Linked DNA regions of Callithrix jacchus. The protein of the gene in region 2 purifies or fractionates together with the protein of the main gene of each other region. This does not show direct contact. Links are inferred from orthologs where the notes say so. Each region holds a gene or a part of one and is shown on either strand. Other genes may lie near its edges.

Evidence for each region. Proteins that work in one complex are often made in the same cells at the same time.
Region 1: the proteins of DAPK1 (region 2) and IFI30 purify together in Homo sapiens (affinity purification with mass spectrometry; 3 studies listed by BioGRID and IntAct, counting the BioPlex papers as one, with this or other methods). This does not show direct contact. The link is inferred for Callithrix jacchus from reciprocal best matches to the Homo sapiens genes DAPK1 and IFI30.

What each region holds. Positions count from the first base shown.
Region 1 is NC_133523.1:16,887,981-16,898,383, reverse strand, and holds IFI30 (gamma-interferon-inducible lysosomal thiol reductase), read right to left. Parts: upstream 5,697-10,403; 5' UTR 5,667-5,696; coding exon 5,535-5,666; intron 3,963-5,534; coding exon 3,768-3,962; intron 3,680-3,767; coding exon 3,605-3,679; intron 3,388-3,604; coding exon 3,295-3,387; intron 2,237-3,294; coding exon 2,084-2,236; intron 1,660-2,083; coding exon 1,606-1,659; intron 1,522-1,605; coding exon 1,459-1,521; 3' UTR 1,260-1,458; downstream 1-1,259. UniProt on the Homo sapiens protein: Lysosomal thiol reductase that can reduce protein disulfide bonds. May facilitate the complete unfolding of proteins destined for lysosomal degradation. Plays an important role in antigen processing.
Region 2 is NC_133502.1:75,957,600-75,968,283, forward strand, and holds the start of DAPK1 (death-associated protein kinase 1), read right to left. Parts: upstream 6,076-10,684; 5' UTR 6,008-6,075; exon of another isoform or gene 5,664-6,007; intron 4,787-5,663; 5' UTR 4,679-4,786; coding exon 4,617-4,678; intron 1-4,616. UniProt on the Homo sapiens protein: Calcium/calmodulin-dependent serine/threonine kinase involved in multiple cellular signaling pathways that trigger cell survival, apoptosis, and autophagy.

The DNA.
Region 1 (10,403 bases), on a different chromosome or scaffold from region 2:
GTAGTCATCATGCCTGGACATAAAATCTTTTAACTGGGTGCGGTGGCTCACGCCTGTAATCCCAGCACTTTGGGAGGCCAAGGCGGGCAGATCACGAGGTTAAGAGATCAAGACCAGCCTGAAACCCTGTCTCTATTAAAAATACAAAAATTAGTCAGGCGTGGTGGTGGGTGCCTGCAATTCCAGCTACTTAGGAAGCTGAGGCAGGAGAATTGCTTGAATCTGGGAGGCTGAGGTTGCAGTGAGCTGAGATTGTGTCACTGCACTCCAACCTGGGTGACACAGTAAGACTCCATTTCAACAACAACAAAAAACTAAACTAAAAAAAAAAATCTTTTAACATGTGTTCATTTTACATTAGTATGAGAATCATAGTATTTCCTTCCCTTGAAAACTAGCCTATAAGGCCTGGCACGATGGCTCATGCCTGAAATCCCAGCACTTTGGGAGGCCGAGACAGGTAGATCACTTGAGGTCAGAAATTTGAGACCAGCCTGGCCAACATGGTCAAATCCTGTCTCTACTAAAAATATAAAAATTAGCCAGGTGTAGTGGTACGCGCCTGTAATCCCAGCTAGTTGGGAGGCTGAGGCAGGAGAATTCCTTGAACCCGGGAGGCAGAGGTTGCAGGTAGCGGAGATTGAGCCACTGCACTCCAGCCTGGGTGACAGAGCCAGAATCCATCTCAAAAAAAGAAAAGATATATTGTATAATATACCTTCCTGTTTTGGGGTGTTTATGACTGGCATTCTAGCTCCAGATTTTGCTGCGGCTAGAGTCTTGTACATTCTTTTGTTTCCCTTTCCTGGAACACCCTGACGTCCCCACTAGGGAACAAATTCTTGGCAACTCCCCAGACAGTGTTCCTGCCCCATCCTCTGTCCTTGTCCGGCCCCAGTTCCCATAGTCGGTCTCAATCCATATTACCCAGTATGGGTTCAGCACAATGAGGGTGGCTAGGGATGTCTGTGCAATTAATGAACTCATTTTCTGCCTGACGAACTCCTATTTACCCTTCAAAACCCCAGCCCTGATGCCCTTCTCCCCTATGCAAAGACTTCTCTCCCTCTGGGATCCTCTAGCCCCAGCCCATCCCTTTTGGTCCATCCCTGACCCCAAGAGACTCAGCATGTTTCTCTGGGTCTGCATCCCCTGGACAGAGGCTCCCTGGGCTAAGGTGTGTCAAGGCTCCAGCACTGCACAGGCCTGGGGAAGGGAGAATGGCTGACTTATCAAATCAATTACAGCATCCAGAAGGGTTTATTAAACTAGTTTTACTTTAGCACCGTTCTTAGTGGAGCAAGATTCTTGATCATGGGGTGGAATTTTGTGTCTGGGCTTCATACATAGAAATGTTCCCATTTGTGACCAGCAGATGCCAAGGGTCCGGATTGGAAAAAACGGCAGGGAGCTGGGTTCCCACTTGCCTTCCCTCGGCTCTCTGCAGGGCACCGGCCATCACTTGAAGCAGACGCTCCTGAGGGAGCTGGTTGAGGGAGGGCAGGTATCTGGCTTCTTGCCCTGGAGGGGAAGGCCACTAGTTGGAGTCCTGGAAGGAGACCCCACCCCCACCACCTGAGCCCCACTGCTCCCTGCCCAGCTTACCTGGTACAACTGGCAGACAAGGGCCAGGAGCTGGCTCATATCTTGCAAGGGTTTCTGCATAAAGCAAGACAGGGGGTCGCTTAGTCCCAGCAGCTGCCTCAACCTATGTACCCTGGTTCCAGCCCAGAAAGGGCTACATGTGGTCCCAAGTCTGGCCCCCACCTCCCACCTCCCAAATCAGTTGGGCACATCTGTCCCAACGAGGGTGGCTAGGAATGTTTAATACATTGAATTAATACACACTTTCTTTTTTGTTTCTTGCCTTTTGTTGTTTAATACACACATTTTTTTGCCTGATGTTTAGTACACACATTTTTTTTGCTTCCTACTCACCCTTCAAAACCCCAGCCCCAGTGCCCCTTTTTCCTATGCAAAGCCATCACTCCCACTCTGGGCTCCTTTATCCCTGGTCCCTCTGGGTCCACCTCTGATTCCATGGGACTAGGGGTGTCAAGCTGAGGGCTAAGAAGATCCTTACCCCATTGACGGTGACCCAGGGCACATACTCATGGGGTGGCTGGAGAGCGTCTGTCCGCTGGGCGTTGGCGTGCATGAGCTGCATGCCGCGGTCCCCCATTGCACACTTCATGACAGTGTCTGGCGATAGGTCTGGGGCATAGAGCTGCAGGCACTGGGCGGGGTGGAGGAGTAGGGGCTTGCCTCAGCTTCCTCCCCGTTATCTCCTCAACGGTCCCCCACCAGCCCTAAGCCAAGCCTGTTTCATCACTGAGAAGAGGGTCACAGCCACACAATACCACAAACATCAAGCGCTCAATACATGCTTTAGTGGAGGCCTGGGAGCAGGGCTGGGGCTGCTCCTAGCCCGCTTGTTTCATTCCTAAGACCAGATCCACTGCCTCTGACCCCCAACGGCATCTCAGTTTCCTCAGGGCCTCCGCACATGCTGATCCCTCTGCCAGAAACACCTTTCCTCCTTCTTCCCCAGTGTCGCCCTCTCCTCCTTGCCACTCTTCCAGCCCCAATCTAACCCTGCAGTACTAGGGTGTGGCTGGGTGGGGCCTCTTGGGTGGCTGGGATGTTTGGTGAATGAACACTGATTAGAGCTGATGAGCCACTCCTCTGGGAGTCATTCTTCACAATCCCCTGGGGAAGTAGGTGGAGCCTGTCCTATCATCTCCACATCCCATCATCTGTACATTCCTGCTCATCCTTCCATGCCCAGCGCAGAGATGCCTCCTCCAGTAAGTCCTCCATGATCACTCATGCTCCTCTGATTCAAAGACAGAGGCTTCAAGAGGGGAGGCTGGGACCAGGCGCGGTAGCTCACACCTATGATCCCAGCCCTTTGGGAGGCCAGGGCAGGTGGATCACTTGAGGTCAGGAGTTTGAGACCAGCCTGGCCAGCATGGTGAACCCTGCCTCTACTAAAAACACAAAAATTGCCCAGGCATGGTGGCGGTTTGCACTCCTCTTCCCACCTACTAGGGAGGCTGAGGCAAGAGGATCACTTAAACCCAGGAGACAGAGGTTGCAGTGAGCCGAGATTGCGCCACTGCACTCCAGGCTGCAGAGCAAAATCCTGTCTCAAAAAAAATAAAAAAAGAAAGGAAGGTTGTTCTCCTGGCTGCACAGAGAGCAATGGTCAGGGCTAGGACTTGAGTCTGGGTCTGACTGGGTGCAGGGAAGCTACCACCTGTCCCTCTCCTCGGAGTGAGGGGCATCACTCACTAGTGGCAGACTTTCCTCCATGTTGTCAAACTCTTCCATGCAGACGATAGTCAGGAAGGCTAAATCCATCTCAAGTTCATCCAGCAGGCAGGCCTGGTGTTCAAGAGGGGGCAGGAGAGGGCATGAGGTGGGCCCAGGGTATGCTGACACCCAATCATAATAATCACCAGTGCCCACCCAGGAGATAGGGAATAAAGATGTGATTACATGGGAACCCGCGAGGCAGAAGACAGAGCTGGCACCCTTGCGTTTGCCTCCTGTACATTGGGCAGTTCTCCCACCCTGGCGAGGGGCCCCTGTCACCGCTTACCTCCACCTTGTTGAATTTGCACTCCTCCTCCCCATGCTGGCACCTGAACTCCCACCGACCGCTGACATTTTGTTCCTGCAAGGCAGCAGGGTGAGAGCTGGTTGGCAGGCCGGGTCCCCTGCTCCCCTGCCCATGTGCCTCAGTTTCCCCAGTGTCCGCGCACCTGCGCATTTCCGTAGGGCACCAGTGTGACATTGAGGATCTCCATGACCATAAGCCACGTTGGGAAGAGCTCCCGGATCAGGAAAGTGCGGCAGCCTTTACACAGGGCTTCATAGTAGAGGGTCACATTGACGAGCTGTGCGGCTTCCGCAGGTATAGACTCCTTGAGCTGCTTCCGCAGGTATAGACTGCCCATCTGTGGATTAGGAAGGGGTGAGGCAGGTGTAGCCCTGGGCAATTTTCCACTTCTCTAAACCCCACTTGGTATTTTTTTTTTTTTTTTGAGACAGAGTCTCGCTCTGTTGCCCAGGCTGGAGTGCAGTGGCATGATCTCGGCTCACTGCAACCTCCACCTCCCGGGTTCAAGCGATTCTCCTGCCTCAGCCTCCCGAGTAGCTGGGACTATAGGCCACGTGCCACCCCACCGGGCTAATTTTTTTGTATTTTTAGTAGAGATGGGGTTTCACCATGTTGGCCAGGCTGGCCTCAAACTCTTGACCTCAGGTGATCCACTCGCCTTGGCCTCCCCAAGTGCTGGGATTACAGGTGTGAGCCACTAAGCCTGGCGAGCCTTTTTTTTTTTTTTTTGAGAGGGAGTCTTGCTCTGTCGCCCAAGCTGGAGTGCAGTGGTGTGATCTCAGCTCACTGTAATTTCCACCTCTTGAGTTCAAGCAACTTTCCTGCCTCAGTCTCCCAAGTAGCTGGGATTACAGATGCCCACCACCACACTCGGCTAATTTTTGTATTTTTAGTAGAGATGGGGTTTCACCATGTTGGCCAGGCTGGCCTCAAACTCTTGACCTCAGGCGATCCACCCACTTCACCCTCCCAAAGTGCTGGGATTACACATGAGCCACCGCACCGAGGCCATGCTCCTTTCTTGCCACTTTACCCAAAAACCTTGGCCTTTTTTTTTTTGAGACGGAATTTTGCTCTTCTTACCCAGGCTGGAGTGCAATGGCGCGATCTCGGCTCACCGCAACCTCTGCCTCCTGGGTTCAAGCAATTCTCCTGCCTCAGCCTCCTGAGTAGCTGGGATTACAGGCATGCGCCACCATGCCCAGCTAATTTTTTGTATTTTTAGTAGAGACGGGATTTCACCTTGTTGACCAGGATGGTCTCGATCTCTTGACCTCGTGATCCACCCGCCTCGGCGTCCCAAAGTGCTGGGATTACACATGAGCCACCGCGCCCGGCCGAAGACCTTGGCCTTGAGCAGAGCCAGGGACCCATGTGAACCCTTTCCAAGTCCCACCGAATAGAGACGGCACCTAATCTGTGCTAACTTCCGGCTTCGGCGGAGGGGTGGCGGGCGGCCCAGGTCGCGGGAGCCGTGAGCAAGTCCCTCAGCCTCCAGGGAATCTGCCTAATAGGCCCCGGCGACACACGAGCCCTGCCCCGGCTGGAATGCGCGCACCAGGGGTAGCAGCAAGAACGCACGCCGGGGGCCTCGACCAGTCGCTGAACTCATCTGGCTGTGCCCTGGGCCCCCAAAAGACACCCCAGCTCCTGCCCCAAAAGTACACAGTAGGCGCTCAATGAAATCCTGAGCGGGACAAGGCGGGTGGGGGCAGCTGCGCGTCTCAGCTGCGGGATGAGAAAGCGAAACGGCACGGAGAGAGTGGCCGCAGTGCCGGGGGACTGAACGCGGTTTTTCCCCCGGCAGGGACAGCCTCCCCTCGGGGCCCTGGTCTTGGCCCTTGAAGTCTGGGGAGAAAGGAGGAGCCGCCTGTCCCCTCCAGCCGGCCCGCCCTGTCGCCGTCCCTACCTTTTGGTTGACTGGTGGTCCATTCCCAAAGACGTCTAACGCTTGCAGAGGGGACGCCTGCACCGCCGCCGTGGGGACGTCCAGCAGCAGCAGCAGCGGCGGCAGGAACAGCAGGAGCGGCGGCAGGGCCATCACGGCGAGGGCGAAGGTGTGGCAGCGGGAGCAGCTGCCTGGGTAATGAGCGCCTTTAAGCAGGCGGCGGCCCCGCCCCTAGCCCGACCCCACCTCCCGGTGCCCCTCCCCTCGGGTCCCTGGCCAGCGTCTCTCCCTCCTCCACGCCTCCCTCTAGGTATCTCACCCCCACCCCTGCCAGGTGCTGGGTCCCCAGTCACGAGGCCATTGGGCCCCTTGGCAGTCAGCCCGGCCCAGTCATGTGAGCCCTGAGGAAGAGTACATTTAGGGGACCTGAGGTGAAGCCTTCCAGACAGACACAGGCCGAGAGAAATGAGGGTGTCTCTGCTCCTCACACCCCTAGACCTTCTGGGGGCGGCTAGGGGACTTGAGGCCCAGGGCCCACTCTCAGAGGAGCCTGTGCTCTAACAGGGGTGGCGTCTGATGGAGGCCGGGGATGGGATGGAGGCTGGGCTGTTGGCGGAGTAGCTGAATGCTCACTCCCCTGTCTGAGTGTGGGCAAGGCCTGTGTGGCCAGGTCCCCTCCCTCCAGCCTGGCCCCTGACCTCCCTCACGCCCACCCCCACCCCCCTGGCCCCTTCCCCCTCGAAATTCCCAAACCCAATGCTCCAGACTCCCCCACTACAGTCTCGTGGGACTGACTCAAGCTTGGCCACAGCTGTGCCAGAAAAGCAGAAGCCGACACAAGAAGTGGCACATCACTTCTCTAGCGCCCCCACCCCCGCAAGCCCTACTTCTGGCTTGGGGTGAAGAGAACTGGCCTTCCTTCTTTTCACGGTCCAAGGCTTGTGGGCGGTGGGGGGCAACCTGGCCTTCAAGGGGCGCCCATGCAGGAGAGCGGCAGCCTGTGCTGTTTGGAGTAGGAGTCCGCATGGCTTTGGATTTGAATGATGGAGCCTCAGCTTTCCCTTCTGTGTAATGGGGAGAAGGATAAGGTTTGGGGGACAGAATCACCATGGAGGGCTCACAGGCAGGTGGGGGAGAGTTGTCCCAGGCTGGGGCTTCCTGGTAGCATGATCAGGCATTGGTGCCTCCATAGAACAGTGCCCAGCAGCGAAGGCAGAGACAGTACCCCAGAAAAAAGGCCCAGATGGAGGCAGGAGTGTTGGGGGAATAATTAAGACATTCAGGCCCCGCAGGGCGTCATTCATGGCAAGACGCACCAGATCCTACAGAAGAAAATGTCCCAAACCTGGCGGGGAGATACAGGTGAGTCCCCAGCTGTGCCTCCCTCTAGTTGTGGGAAAGACCCACACACAGCAGCTGATTTGGGAGCCAGAGTTTCCCTGAAGTCCCAGTGGCTGGATGGTGCCCCCGCCCATCCCTCAGATGACCAAACCCTTGGCAAAGCCCTTTTCCTTCTCAAAGGCTCCCCAAGACTCACTGCCTCAACTTTCATGCTTACCATGTGCCAGGTGGGATTGAAGAAATAACAATAAATATAATTGCTCCAATTTTTCCAGTAGTTACTGGGCACCAGCCCTTTTGGAAGAAATCATAAATGTAACCTCACAATATATTGCTCTCTGCCAGGCACAGAGTGTGCCCACAACCCATTTTATTTTATTTATTTTGAGACAGAGTCTTGCTCTGCCACCCAGGCTGGAGTGCAGGGGCATGATCTTGGCTCACTGCAACCTCTGCCTCCTAGGTTCAAGCAATTCTTTTACCTCAGTCTCCCGAGTAGGCTGCCACCATGCTCGGTTAATTTTTTTGTATTTTTACGGGGTTTCACCATGCTGGCCAAGCTGGTCTCAAACTCCTGACCTCGTGATCCACCTGCCTCGGCCTCCCAAAGTGCTGCGATTATAGTCATGAGCCACCGCACCTGTCCCCACAACCTATTTTATCACTGAACCCTCAGAAGCAGCCAGTTGGGGCTGAGGGTGGGGGCTATGGACTCCAGTTGGTAACAAAGACACGGCTGATCAGAGAGGGAAGGCTATTTTGCCAAGGACACACAGCCAGTGGCTGAATGTTTTTAAAGGCCACACGGCCAGCTCAGCATAGCTGGGGCCATGAAGATGGCGATCTTTCTCCTGCGATCACGTACACAGTGAGAGGCACTATCTGGGCTGGAGTAATTTATGGGGCATCTCCAGACAGGACACATGGCAGGGACAGTGCCTGGCAAGGCTAGGGGGCCCTGAGGTAAGGGAAGCAGCTCCTATCCCAAGGTCCCAGCAGTAGACTGGGTCAGAAGGGAGGTTTGTTCATGCACTTGCCCCAGGCTCAGCCTTCTTGGGCCCTGAGAGGTGGCTGGACAGGAACAGACAAGGACAGGGAGGCCCCAGGGGTGAGGAGGGCTGAAGGGACAAGGATATGGCATTCTGGGTGTGATGAGGAGGGTGGTTAACAGGAGTCCGGGTTAAAGACACTATGAGGCTACTCGTAGGGGCTCACACAATTCCGGGAGGCTGAGGCAGGAGGATTGCTGGAGACCAGGAGTTCCAGACCCACATGGAAAAGGGAAAGACCTTTGTTTTTTTCTTGAGACAGTCTCACTCTGTCACCCAGGCTGGGGTGCAGTGGCACAATCTTGGCTCACTGCAGTGTCGACCTCCCAGGTTCAAGCAATTCTGTCTCAGCCTCCCAAGTAGCTGGGATTACAGACATGGGCCACCGAGCCTAGCTAATTTTTTTTTTTTTTGGTCTTTTTAGTAGAAACCAGGTTTTGCCCTGTTGGCCAGGCCGGTCTCAAACTCCCAACCTCAACTGATCTGCCTGCCTTGGCTTTTCCCAAAGTGCTGGACTGACAGGTGTGAGCCACTGCACTTGGCAAGATCATGTTTCTAAAAACATTTTAAAACAATTAGCTGGACATGGTGACTCGCACCCATAATCCAGTGACTCAGGAGTCTGAGATGGGAGGATTGCTTGAGCCTGGAAACCAGCAGTTTGAGGCTGTGAGCCATGAGCTGTGATCATGCCACTGCGCTCCAGCCTGGGTGACAGAGCAAGACCATGACTCTTTAAAAAGAAACAAAAACCCCCTTCATGGGGCCTCTGCTCAGCATCCCCTGGGACCTGGTGGGCTGAACATGGGGGCAGGAGAGGTCAGACGAGAACCTCAAATGCTGGATGGAGGTGCTGATGATTTGAGGATCTCAAGACATGGGAGACCTGTCCATGTGGCATGGGAAGGTTGTGACTTTTTTTTGAGACGGAGTTTTGCTGTTGTTACTCAGACTGGAGTGCAATGGTGTGATCTCAGCTCACCGAAACCTACGCCTTCTGGGTTCAAGCAATTCTCCTGCCTCAGCCTCCCGAGTAGCTGGGTCTACAGGCGTGCACCACCATGCCCAGCTAATTTTTGTATTTTTAGTAGAGACGGGGTTTCACCTTGTTGACCAGGAGGGTCTTGATCTGTTGACCTCATGATCCACCCTCCTCAGCCTCCCAAAGTGCTGGGATTATAGGCGTGAGCCACTGGGCCCGGCCAGGTTGTGGCTTTTGAGGTCACTTGGGAATGAATGAGGAAGCTGTAGATTAGGGAGGGGAAATGACTTTCCCAAGGACGTAGCTGGTGGTCGCCACAGGGTTCATATTTGGAGTTGGGGGCGGGGGAGGCAGATCGGAAGCACTTGAGGGGCTGGATGAGGTCTGGGGTCCCAATATCTCTCCTGTCACCTTGGCAGTGCCTCAACTTCTCGGGGCTTGAGCAGCTCAACTGGGGGAGGTAGGGGGTTGTCCGGCCTCAGAGGTGGCTTGGCATTAATCCCGTAAATGCCAGGGTGCCCGGCACGCAGAGGTGGCAGTGAAGCCCAGTCACTGACAAGAGAATCATCCACGACGTTTGATGTTTTATATCATATCAATAACAACGTACCGTACAAAACCTGCCTCCCAGCTCGCCGGGCAGGCAGTGTGGCAGCCAAGGGCGGCGTAGAAAACCAGGGCTCTCGTCCCAAAAGAGAAAAGAGGGTTTTGCAGTCAAGGAAAAATAGAATCAAAACCCAGCGTGATGGAAGAGAAGCCCTGAATCTGCGTAGACGGAGGGGCCGCGGGCAGTGGCGCAAGTCAGCCAGAGCAGCGGCACCAGTACGGGGAGCTACGATTCCTGGGGGAGAAGGGGGGGCTGGGGCCGGCTCACGAGTTTGTTTATTTTTGGAGATGGAGGAGGGTTACTCGCCGTCCAGGCTAGAGTGCAGAGTACAGTGGCGCAATCTCGGCTCACTGCAACCTCCATCTCCCGGGTTCAAGTGAGTCTCGCGCGGCTCAGCCTGTGGAGTGGCTGGGGTTACAGGCACGCGCCACTACTCTCGCTACTTTTTGTATTTTAGTAGAGATGGGGTTTCGCCTTGTTGGCCAGGCTGGTCTCCAACTCCTGACCTCAAGAGATCTGCCTGCCTTGGCCTCCCAAAGTGCTGGGATTACAGGCGTGAGCCACGGCGCCTGGCCTAAGAGTTTATTTTAAATTATATTTTGGGGGTTGGGGAACTCGCAGCGGCCCCAGGGTGGGGATAGCCTGGTGGCGGGTTTCACTTCAGGGTTTGGAGGGGAAGTTGGAGTCTGTGGGGCGGGTCCCGCCCGGCCCCGAATGTCATGACCGAGGTTCTTGGAAGCAGCGGAGTCAAGTTCCTTCCTGCCCTGACCCCAGGTCTATGGCTTAAAAATCGGGGTGCCCAGGCTGGGGCCGCGCAGCCCAGGGGCCCTCTGTAAACATGGCAGGTACAGCCAGAAAGGGCTTCTGGGACCCCGGGGAACCTGCGGTGTGCAGGGCAGAGGGTCAGGGTG
Region 2 (10,684 bases):
ATTTGTTTTGTTTAAAACTGATCTTGTGCTTGAAAATTTTGGCTACTGTGCTCATTACTGTTCAGGCACAAAGAATGCAAAAACAAAAGCAGTTTTTATTTTGATGAGCTGAAGCCATTATGTCCTAAGTGTTCATTTTCACCACAAGCCATCATTTATTGAGGGCCTAAAACATACATATTCTTTCAAGTTGCTTTACATATATTGATCCACTCAGTCTATCATCATGCATTTACTGAGCACCTCCTAAGTGCCATGCATCAACCTGAGCAGCAGAAATAAAAAGTGAGGAGCAAGTCCAAGGTAATGGCCCCATGGAGAAAGCAGATCATCAAATAAGCAGTTACTATGCAATGCGGTAAATGCTGTGATGGAGAAAACAGTTTATTAAAAATAATATATTAGGGGCCAGGCACAGCGTGTCTGCCCTATAATCTCAGAGCTTTGGAAGGCCGAGGTGGGAGAATTGCTTGAGCCCGAGTTCGAGGTTACAGTGAGCTATGATTGTGCCACTGCACTCCAGCTTGGGCAACAGAGTAAGACCCTGTCTCTAATATATATATATATATATATATATTAGACGCATGACAGTAGGCGTTCAGTAAATGCATAATATATCTATCTATAGACTAAAAAGATAGACAGATTATTAGACAGTGACTGCATGTCAGATGTTTAAAGCCACGTCTGTAATTCTCACAACACCCTACCCTACCAGGGTAGGTAACTCCCCCCTTTCCAAATGAGCTTCCTGAGGGTCTTCCACACTGCACGCTGCCTCTCTAACAGCATCAGCATCTGCATCATCGTTTGCAGCTTACATCCCCATTCTGGTCTCAAAATTGCACCTGCCAAACTGCATTAGCTCATTTAGACATGCATTAATCTCATACTGACCACAGATACCAATTTACTGGAAGTCTAGGGCACACTGTACACCATGGGGAGAAAGGGCTGCGACAACTCCAAACCACAGAGCACATCCCAAAGAAACTCACAAGCTGGCTGCAAAGACTAATACAAGACTAATAAATATAAAACAGGATGGAACATGTCACTGGGCAGTCTATGGTCATGGACAAAGAAAGTCTCAGAAAACTCACTTGACTTTAAAAAGGGAAAACTCATTGTGGAAGGATTCATTCATTAAAGAAGTGGGATTTAGGTCTTAAGATCATAAAAGGTCAGATGGTACACTAAGAAAGAAGACCAGTCCCTCAGGAAAGCAGTGTACACAGAGAGGTACCCAGGAGGCTCACAGGTTAGGCTGAACGACAGCCAAGGGTGTAACTAGAGCCCAACAATGGGGCAAGCCAGGCTGTAGCTGCCCAAGATGCCAGCTGATAAGAGATGCTAGGGCATCCTGGGGCATTAAAACAACCTGGTGTAATAGCAGGTGGAGAAAACCACATTTATAAGAACTCCTCTCAGAGACTGTTCAACACGATGGAGGCAGTTCTTTGTTCCCCCTCCTGGCATAGAAGGTGAGACCCTAAAGGCCCTCCAGGAGCCCAAATGGAAGGCCACCAAATACTCTTCTAAAGATGACAAGTCCGTCTGCTGCAGGGACTAGCTTCTGTTTGGAGGCTGTGCCAGCTCAAGGCCAGGGCAGCATTATTCAGAATCATAGTGAAGACTGAATGCTGTCAGCAACCCATCTCCCTATAACCCTTTTCCCATAAGCCCTCCCCTCCCAAAGTTGGTAAACAGATACTTAAGAATATTGAGTTGCAGGTCAAGTTATTAGCTTGCCTGGGGCACCCACATGTCTCAGCCAGTCTACAGATAATGTCTATAGTTGTTTAACTATCCACTGCCAATAAACTACCTTTACAAGTTAGATTACTTAATTTTTACAACAGCCATGAAATAAGCACTAGACCTCTCATTTTATGGAGGATAATCCTGAGGGTCAGAGTGGGTAAATGGCCTGTTCAAGAAAACTAGCAAGTTGCAGAGCCAGGTTTTGGACAGGGTCGTCTGTCCAGTGGTCCACCTGCTCTATCACTGCTGTAATAGTTGTAATAGTTTATAAAGTTCCTGACAGTTGACAGAGAGCTTTTATAGAAGTCTTAGGCAGTACACACAAATACACACATTTTCAGTTTTCCCAATAGTAAAATAATATTCATAATAATACTGTATTCTACTTTTTAAAAAACCCATCTTTCCTCCTCGCTATGGACTTTGCCTCATTACATTTATAAGGTAAGTGAATCGTTATTATTTAGATGACTGCTAAAGATACGTAAGTAAAGTCTTTATTTATTTATTTATTTTCAGTCAGAGTCCTGCTGTGTCACCCAGGCTGGAGTGCAGTGGCACGATCTCAGCTCACTGCAACCTCTGCCTCCGAGAATGGTTCAAGTCATTCTCATGCCTCAGCCTCCCAAGGAGCTGGGACTACAGGCACCTGCCACCATGACCAGCTAATTTTTGTGTGTGTATTTTTAGTAGATACGAGGTTTCACTATGTTGGCCAGGCTGGTCTTAAACTCCTGACCTTGTGATCTGCCCGCCTTGGCCTCCCAAAGTGCTGGGATTACAGGCATGAGCCACCCTGTCTGGCCAAGAAAAGTCTTAAATCTTAGATACTGGTCTGCTAGTAAGTCACTGCTTAGAATGACCTTGCATTTGTTCCACGTATCTGCCCATTTCCATTTTTCTGCCACCAAACTCCTGCCTTCACTCCCAATCCTCCCTCAGTGACACATGATGTCACATAAGCAGGATCTTCCTACATGTCCATCTTACATCAGGACTTGTTTTCAGGAAGTGACTACATCCAAGGCAGACATAAATCACAGGATTTGAAAAATTTTCCAAAAAACAACCATTCACTCAGTTTTTGGCAAAAACAATAGCAATTATACAGGACAGATGGGTATGTACGTTTCATTCTTAAGACTTCCAGTTTTTCAGAGCATTTTGTTAAAATTCCTAGGTCACATAAATTATTTAATAAACAATTTGTCGATTTGCCTTCCACACTGGGAAGAAAGTTATACACAGAAATGTACATGGAGTCAATCAAAGTGCTGGTGACAAATAAGCAAACCACCTGGCTCCTCATCACGCCCCTGAAATGAAGAGCACAAACTCCCTTCACCAACCACAGGGAGGCCTCTTTTTCTATTTCTTTCTCATAACACATCACTGTACCAAATAATCATAATGAAAAGGTCAGTACACGTAATCCATAATACAAAAAAATCTCAACTAATTTTACTCATCTCCCTTTCTAACAACATTTAAATAATCAGACCACACTATGCAAGTAAAATTTAAAAAAAACTTTTTTGCTTTTTTTTCCCCAGTCCCAAAGGAAAACTCCATATCCCACTCATCTTGCTGAAAACCACAAGAAAGTTACTTAATTCCACTTAAACCAATCTTAAACACATCCATGAAATGTGATTTTTCAGGGGCTTTCCTTATTTACTCACCAGATCATCAATAAACAGAGAGCTCCTCCTAAGTACAGGCCCCACTGATGTTTTCAGTCAATACTAAACATTTAGAGAAATATTCTGTTACAGTAACCTTTATAAAAACTCTACACTATCGTTTGAATTTAAAAATTTTTCAGTTAAGCTTAGTTTTCATAATTCGCTTTAGGTAATCTAGAATGTGGGTGTTTTTGAATTTCCTTTTCATGGAGAAAAAGGAGGCTTTGTATCAGGACATCAGATGTATATGGGAAAATAAGTATTTCAGTGCACATATAAGTAAACACATATTTTGTTTGTTTAAAGATCCTTTGCCTGCTCCACTCAAAATGCAAATACACCACAGTCAAATTCCGTAAATTCAGTTTTAAATGTAGGTATGAAAACTAGGTTTTCTACTAAAGCTGACCGGCCCAAAACACTCTGTCTAATACACAGTCAAACGAAACAGCAATCAGCCCCTTAGATGCCCCCAAAGAAACCCTTCTTTGTTTACCTAGAAACTGAAAGATTTTACCCTGAGAATCACAGCTGCTACAGCAAAGGAGGTATGCTCTGAATTCAGATAGCCATATTAGAATCTCATTGATTTGTTAAAAATTTAACATTGTAAATGAAACCAAAGCCACCAACACCAACCGGGTAATTAAATTCCTGGTTGGAAGAGGTTTCAAAATCCAAGCCCAACATCAACATCTGGCAAGTTTCCATTTACCACCTACCAATACTTGCTCACATTACACTGAAAATTCAGATAGAGGGAAAAGTACTAAGATTTTTAAAAGCCTATTAATTAGTTTGTACTCTCTGTTTAAATTACACATAAAAGCGAACTCCAGTTGCAATTATAATCTTAGTGTTCGTCCTGTTGTCACGGAAGGCCAAGGGCTGACAAGAGTTAATGCAGACAATTAAATCTGTTCTTGTACAGGGGACTTGATCAATACACTGTGCATCATAATCTAGCCCTGAACGGCTGCCTCTCCTCCACCCCCAGGCCTCTGGATCAGGAGGTTTATCTCTGGGTTAGTAACTCTTTACGATGTGTGCATCTCCAGAAAGGGCGAAGGAGACGCCTGATTCAAACTGCGTTTGTTTACCACCCAGTGGCCCCATCGTTATGCATTTCCACAACCCAGGAGCGTGCGCTTCTGGCACCCCCTTTACCTGCCAAGTTCCTCGCCGGTGTCGTAGTAATCATCCACGTTTTCCTGCCTGAACACGGTCATGATAAACTGTCACACCTCACCAAAGCCCAGCGCACTTCAGCTCCGCTTCCCAGACCATCACCACCGCTCCTGTGCCTCCGTGGCCCCCTCATGCATCAGCTTCCAGTCCTTTTGAAAACAAACAAACAAAAAAAATTGGCAATAATAATAGTAAAATGGCAACCCCAAAAGGAAGTAGACCTCCCCAGCGCTAAGACCCGCTCGCTGGAGACCAGGTCTCAGGAGTTGCCTCTCCTCGTGGGGTGGAGGGGAGCACCCTTTGTTAAAGCTGGGCGGCCAGGGACGCCCCCGACCACTCAGCCTCGCCCGCGCATGGGGCCGGGCACCACTGCACCCTGAGGTCCGCAACCCCAAACGCTGGGTGGTGTGTTCGGATCAGAATCGGCTCCGGAAGTGACTGGCCTCCCGGCCTCCCCGCCTCCCCTTTCTCTGCACACACGCCCACCCAGCTTACCCACCTCCAGGGACGCCGCGGAAGAATGAAGCCCTCGCCCAGACCCAACGCGCCTCGCTGGAAGCATCCCTCTCAGCCTGAGGCATTGGTGGCACCCCCGCGCCACCTCTCGGCTCCCGCGCCTCTCCTGCCACCGTGGCCACCTTCTCCCCTTCCCCGAGCAAGGCAGTCCCCAGAGCCACATTCCTGGCGACTCCCTCTCCGTTACCCGGCCGACCCGGCGTGCTGCCGCCCGGGGGAGCAAGGGAGGGAAGGGAGCGGCCCACCGAGGCGCGGCGGTCCGCTCCAGATCCCCGCGGCCCGACACAAAGCGCCTGTTCCGGCCGGCGCCACCTGTTCCCATCCGGCCCGCGGGGCTGGGGGAGCCTCCCGGCTACGATCGCATTTCTCCCCGAGGCCAAGTTTCCCTCCGCCTTGGCCTTCCCAGTTGCTCGAGGCGCTGCCCTGGCAAACCCCACCGCGCCCTGGCCGCGACAGCAATTGCTGGCGCCGGGGGTCTGGGGGACCGGGGAACCGCGCCTGGCCACTCACCCGGGCGCCTGAGAGCTCCCCGGGTCCCTCCGGAGCACTGTCTGAGGCCGACCATAGGCGCCAGCGCCACAGACGAGCTGGGCGGCGGCGGGAACACAGCTAGGGAGGGAGTTGGGGGCGCAGATCCCACGCAGCCGCCCAGACGCCGGCTCCAGAGCCAGCCGCCGCGAGGGTCGCCGAGTCCCCTCAGCGGAGGGAACAATGTCCCCAGCGTCGGCTCGGCCCGGCTCTCCAGCTCCCGCTCCAGAGGAGCCTCTAGGCTCCTCGCCGCCTTTAGGGCGGAGGGCGGCGGGCAGGCGGCCAATAAGGACTCTGCAAGCGGGCTGGCGGCGCGGCCCACCCACCTCCGAGCTGCCCTGCCGGGCCGGCGCTGCGGGTTCTGCGCGGCGCTAGCTGTTCCTCCCAGCTCTGCGCTCCGGGCTCGCTGGCGCGCTCTACCGCGCACACCCCGCACACACCCACTCGCCCCACACCCACGCCGGCAGGGGAGCCAGTGCTGCAGCCCGGAACGCGGGCACCCCTCCTGTGACACATTGCTAAGCTATCCTCCGGCTGAGTTCTAGGGAAACACTGTTCTTTCGCCCCGCAGATGTGTACTGGGATCCCAGCTTGTGCCGGGCACGGCTCTTGGCAAGGGAAAATCACAGAGAACAAAACAGGTTTTTAAAATTCCTGCCCTCCGGAAACCTACATTCTGGTGGAACAGATAGATAATAAATATGTAAACTAACTAATAAGGTAATTCTGGAGGATCAGTCCGATGTTTACCACAAGGCAGGTTAATGGAATAGAGAATGGCAGGAAGGGAGCGGACCTCCTTAGACTGGATTCCCTTGCCACATTGGTGTTGGAACCGAGGTTTGAAGGCGAAAAGGTTTGCAATCCGAGAGGAAAAGATTGAGGTCTCCGAGACCCAAAGAAGCAACAGAGACGAAGAGTTTATTTGTGCTATACAGTATTCTGTTGGCTATTGATGAGCTGAAATATAGCTAGTCCCAAATTAATTGTACTGTAAGTGTAAAATACACATTAGAGTCCACGACTTAGAATGGATATGTGAATGAAAAATATCTCATGAATGTTGTTATATTTGTTACACGTTCAATAATATTTTAGATATATTGGTTTAAATAAAATATATTATTAAAATTAATTTCACGTGTTTACTTTCTTTTGAGACAGTCTCACTCTGTCGCCAGGCTGGACTACAGTGGCACGTTCTCGGCTCACTGCAACCTTCACCTCCCGGGTTCAAGCAATTCTCCTGCCTCAGCCTCCCGAGTAGCTGGGACAAGTGTGCATCACCACACCCAGCTAATTTTTGTATTTTTAGTAGACACGGAGTTTCACCATGTTAGCTAGGATGGTCTCAATCTCTTGACCTCATGATCCACCCACCTCAGCCTCCTAAAATACTGGGATTACAGGCATGAGCCACCATGCATGGCATCACCTGTTTACTTTTTTAAAGGTAGCTACTAGAAAATGTAACAGCACCTCCGTGGTTTGCATTAGATTTCCGATGACTCTGTTGGTCTACACAAAGACCCTATATCCGCTGGAGGCCTCTATTCACTTTACTTCCCACCCTATGCTCCCCCTAAATGTTTGGGTGGGGACAAAGAAGGGATGATTCCCCACATCCCACTGCTGGGAGAACCCCAAACGGAGAAAAGCTCCTAAGGGGAAATCTGTTTGACTGCCTAGAATGATGAAAACTGATAGATGAAGAGATTTCCGATACACAACATTGTTCAAATCCCCAGGCTTTCTAAATTGAGTTGGTTCAAATCTCTCTAAAAAAAAAAAGTCAACAGAAATTTTCAACTGTGAAGATTTGGGCCTCTTGAAAACAAGGCAAAACAAAAGAATGCTCCTCAGGCCTTATGTCAAATCCTAGTTTTCTGTTTTTTTGGGTTTTTTTGATAAAGAGTTTTACTCTTGTTGCCTAGGCTGGAGTGCAGTTGCCCGATCTTGGTTCACTGCAAAATCTGCCTCCCACGTTCAAACGATTCTCCTGTCTCAAGCTACCCAGTAGCTGGGATTACAGGCATAGGTCAACACGCTCGGCTAATTTTGTATTTTTAGTAGAGATGGAGTTTCACCATTGGCCAGGCTGGTCTCGAACTCCTGGCCTCAGGTGATCCTCCTGCCTCAGCCTCCCAAAGTGCTGGGATTACAGGCATAAACCACCATGCCTGGCCAAATCCTGATCTTAAATAACATTGCATTAATGACCCACAGGAAGGGCCCACAAGAATGGAGGGGAAATCCCCAAATTGGAAGATGATATTTGCCTAAGCAGTGGGCTTGATAATTAATACAAAAGGATCTTGAGAGGTGAGAAATACAGTCAAAAATGACAAAGAGAAAGAGTGATTCATCTGGGAAAATGCAAATGAATACATCTGTTGGGAGAAAAAATTAAAACACAGATGTTTGGGATAAACTTGGAAGGTGTTTATGGATGACTACCTTATGGGTAATATTTTTTCTGCAAAATAAAAATATATTTTTTAAGACAATTAAAAGGATTGAATCTATTTGGCAGCTAGAATGTCTTAACAAAGACATTGTCCTATGGGACAATGATGTTCACCGGAGATAATCTGGAGTAGTGGAAAAGAGCATGAAATTTGGAGTCATAAAATTAGATCTAATACTGGTGGAGCCATTTAACAGCTTAATAATCTTATATGTGTCACTGATCCCTGAGCTTCATGTGTGCACCAATTTAGACAAACATTTTAGAAAGGAGAAATTTGGTCATTTAAAAGCATATCCACAAATTATTTGACACTCCCCCAATCAAGAGGCGGAGTCTAATTCCCCTCTCAATAAATAAGCACTGACCCTATCTGCTGGCTTCTAAGAAAAGGTAGTGGCAGTGGCACAGTGTAATTTATTTCCAAGGTTAGGTCATTAGACATTAGAGCTCCTGCCTGCTTGCTTTTCTCTCTCTCTCTCACTCCTCCTCCCTCTCTCCCCACTTCACCTCCACCCACTCTAAAGCCTCCCGCTGTCACAATTACCCTAGGGTTGCTGTGTAGAGAGGTGTGACAAGACCACAGAAAGAACTGGAGATGCCCAAAGAAGCCAGCTGTCCAGCCCCACCCTCACTCCCCATTGTTTATGTCTTCCAGTTCAAGTTCTGTGAGCCAAATCAATGACTTTTAATGTTTTAAGTCATTATTTCAGGGTGATTTGTTATGTAGCAATAGATTATCTTCTTTAAAAGTTAGAAAAATTAAGAAAATTCTTAACACATACCAGGTTCCAGGCAGACAAAATAATTACCTCAATTAATCTTTAAATAAATTAGTGGGTTTTTTTGTTTAATAAATAAATTTGTGGTTATTTACTCTTTATATGTAAATGTCTTAGTCTCAGTTTCATTGCCTGTGAAGTGAGGATGGTTATAGACTCTTCCATATTCCTCAGGTTTGTTGGGAGAATCTAAAGAGATAATGCATGAAACAAGACTTTGTACATTATAAAACACATCAACATGTTAGAGATTTTATTTTCTATCATGTCCCGAGCAAAAAGGACTGAGAGAGTCATGTCACAAATAGAAGACAACAATATAAGAAGCTACAAATTATGAGATGCCAGTTGAGAAGAATTTCTATAAAAATAATTGATTATGATATGGACTATGGATCATAATAATCATGGCAATAGTATTTTAAACAAACCTGAGTGTAGATTTTAGAACATTATTTTACAACTGTATTAGGGTAAAATAACTGTTGCTATAAGACCCAACAAATTTCAGAGGTTTAACACATTAAAAATTTGTTACTTGTTCTCAGCACAGAGGTTTGCAGGGAGTAGGCAGAGATTAGCTCCATGATAGTCATTCAGAAACCCAGGTTTCTGCCATCTAATGAATCCATGCTCCTCCACGTAGGTTCCTCAGTTGATTTTTTCCATCTTTTGGCTGTTGAGAGAAGAGAAAATACAGGGAGGATTGCACTGAAGCTTTATGTAGGAGGTAAGATTTGAAGTCTAAGACAACCATTATTTCCCAGCAAGATGTTCTCAGCTCAATCTAAGTGGACCATATTAACTCAGTTCCACCTTTGGGTTGCTTTTTTGTAATATGGATTTGGTTTTATCAAGAGCTAATATTTTTAAGAATGTTTCTGCATTGTGGTTTCCCTGTTAAAGATTCTGTTCATTACACAGTTGAGAGCCTCTGATAGAGGCAGTCACATGACTCATCCCAGTTCCTCCCAGCATTGAGTGCTAAAAGTATATTCATCTCTTCTCACCAAATCATATTTTCTTTTGTCAGACAAAAGTACAGAGCTCATTCTGTTTCTCATTTTGCCTTGGATTCTCCAGAAAGCATGCAGCAAGTTCAGAAAGCACAAACCTCCATCTAATGCCCAGTTTACCATCTTCTCTGATCCCATTCGTAAGCATTTCTTGAGTATCTAGTGTCCAGCAGATGTTAGGGATGCAGATATAAGAGAAACATTCTCTGTCCTCAGGTAACTTAGCCTGATGAGGGAGACGGATCAACAAATAGAACTGCGATTGTGCTAAATATAATCCATTCGCCGCTCTACATCTAATCTACTCTCTGAGCCATAAGATTATTTTAACGCATTCCTTGTCCTCTGGTTGCTGGTAGGCTTAGCCAATGGGCCACCTGGCATAAGATGAAAAAAAAGGAGGGAGTGAAGCCAAGATAGTCATTCCTCATCTCTCCTCCCTGCAAGATTGCCTTAGTCTGCAGCTAAACATAGGTCGCTGTTCCTTACAGGTCCCCTCTTTTACATGGTTTTCTCTTTCTGGGTTTTGGTAGCCACTCTTGCTCCTTTATGTCTTCAAAACCTAAGGTTGGTGCCAGCTCTGTCATTACTAACTTGGGTTCCTGCTCCATCCCTTATGGTCCCCCTGCACCTCTCTCACACCTCCTTGAATCCTCCTGATTTGAGCATGCCATCTCTGAATGACAGCGTAATGAGAGAGGAATCTCAGAAGATGGTGAAAACAAGCAGGGAGGGTGC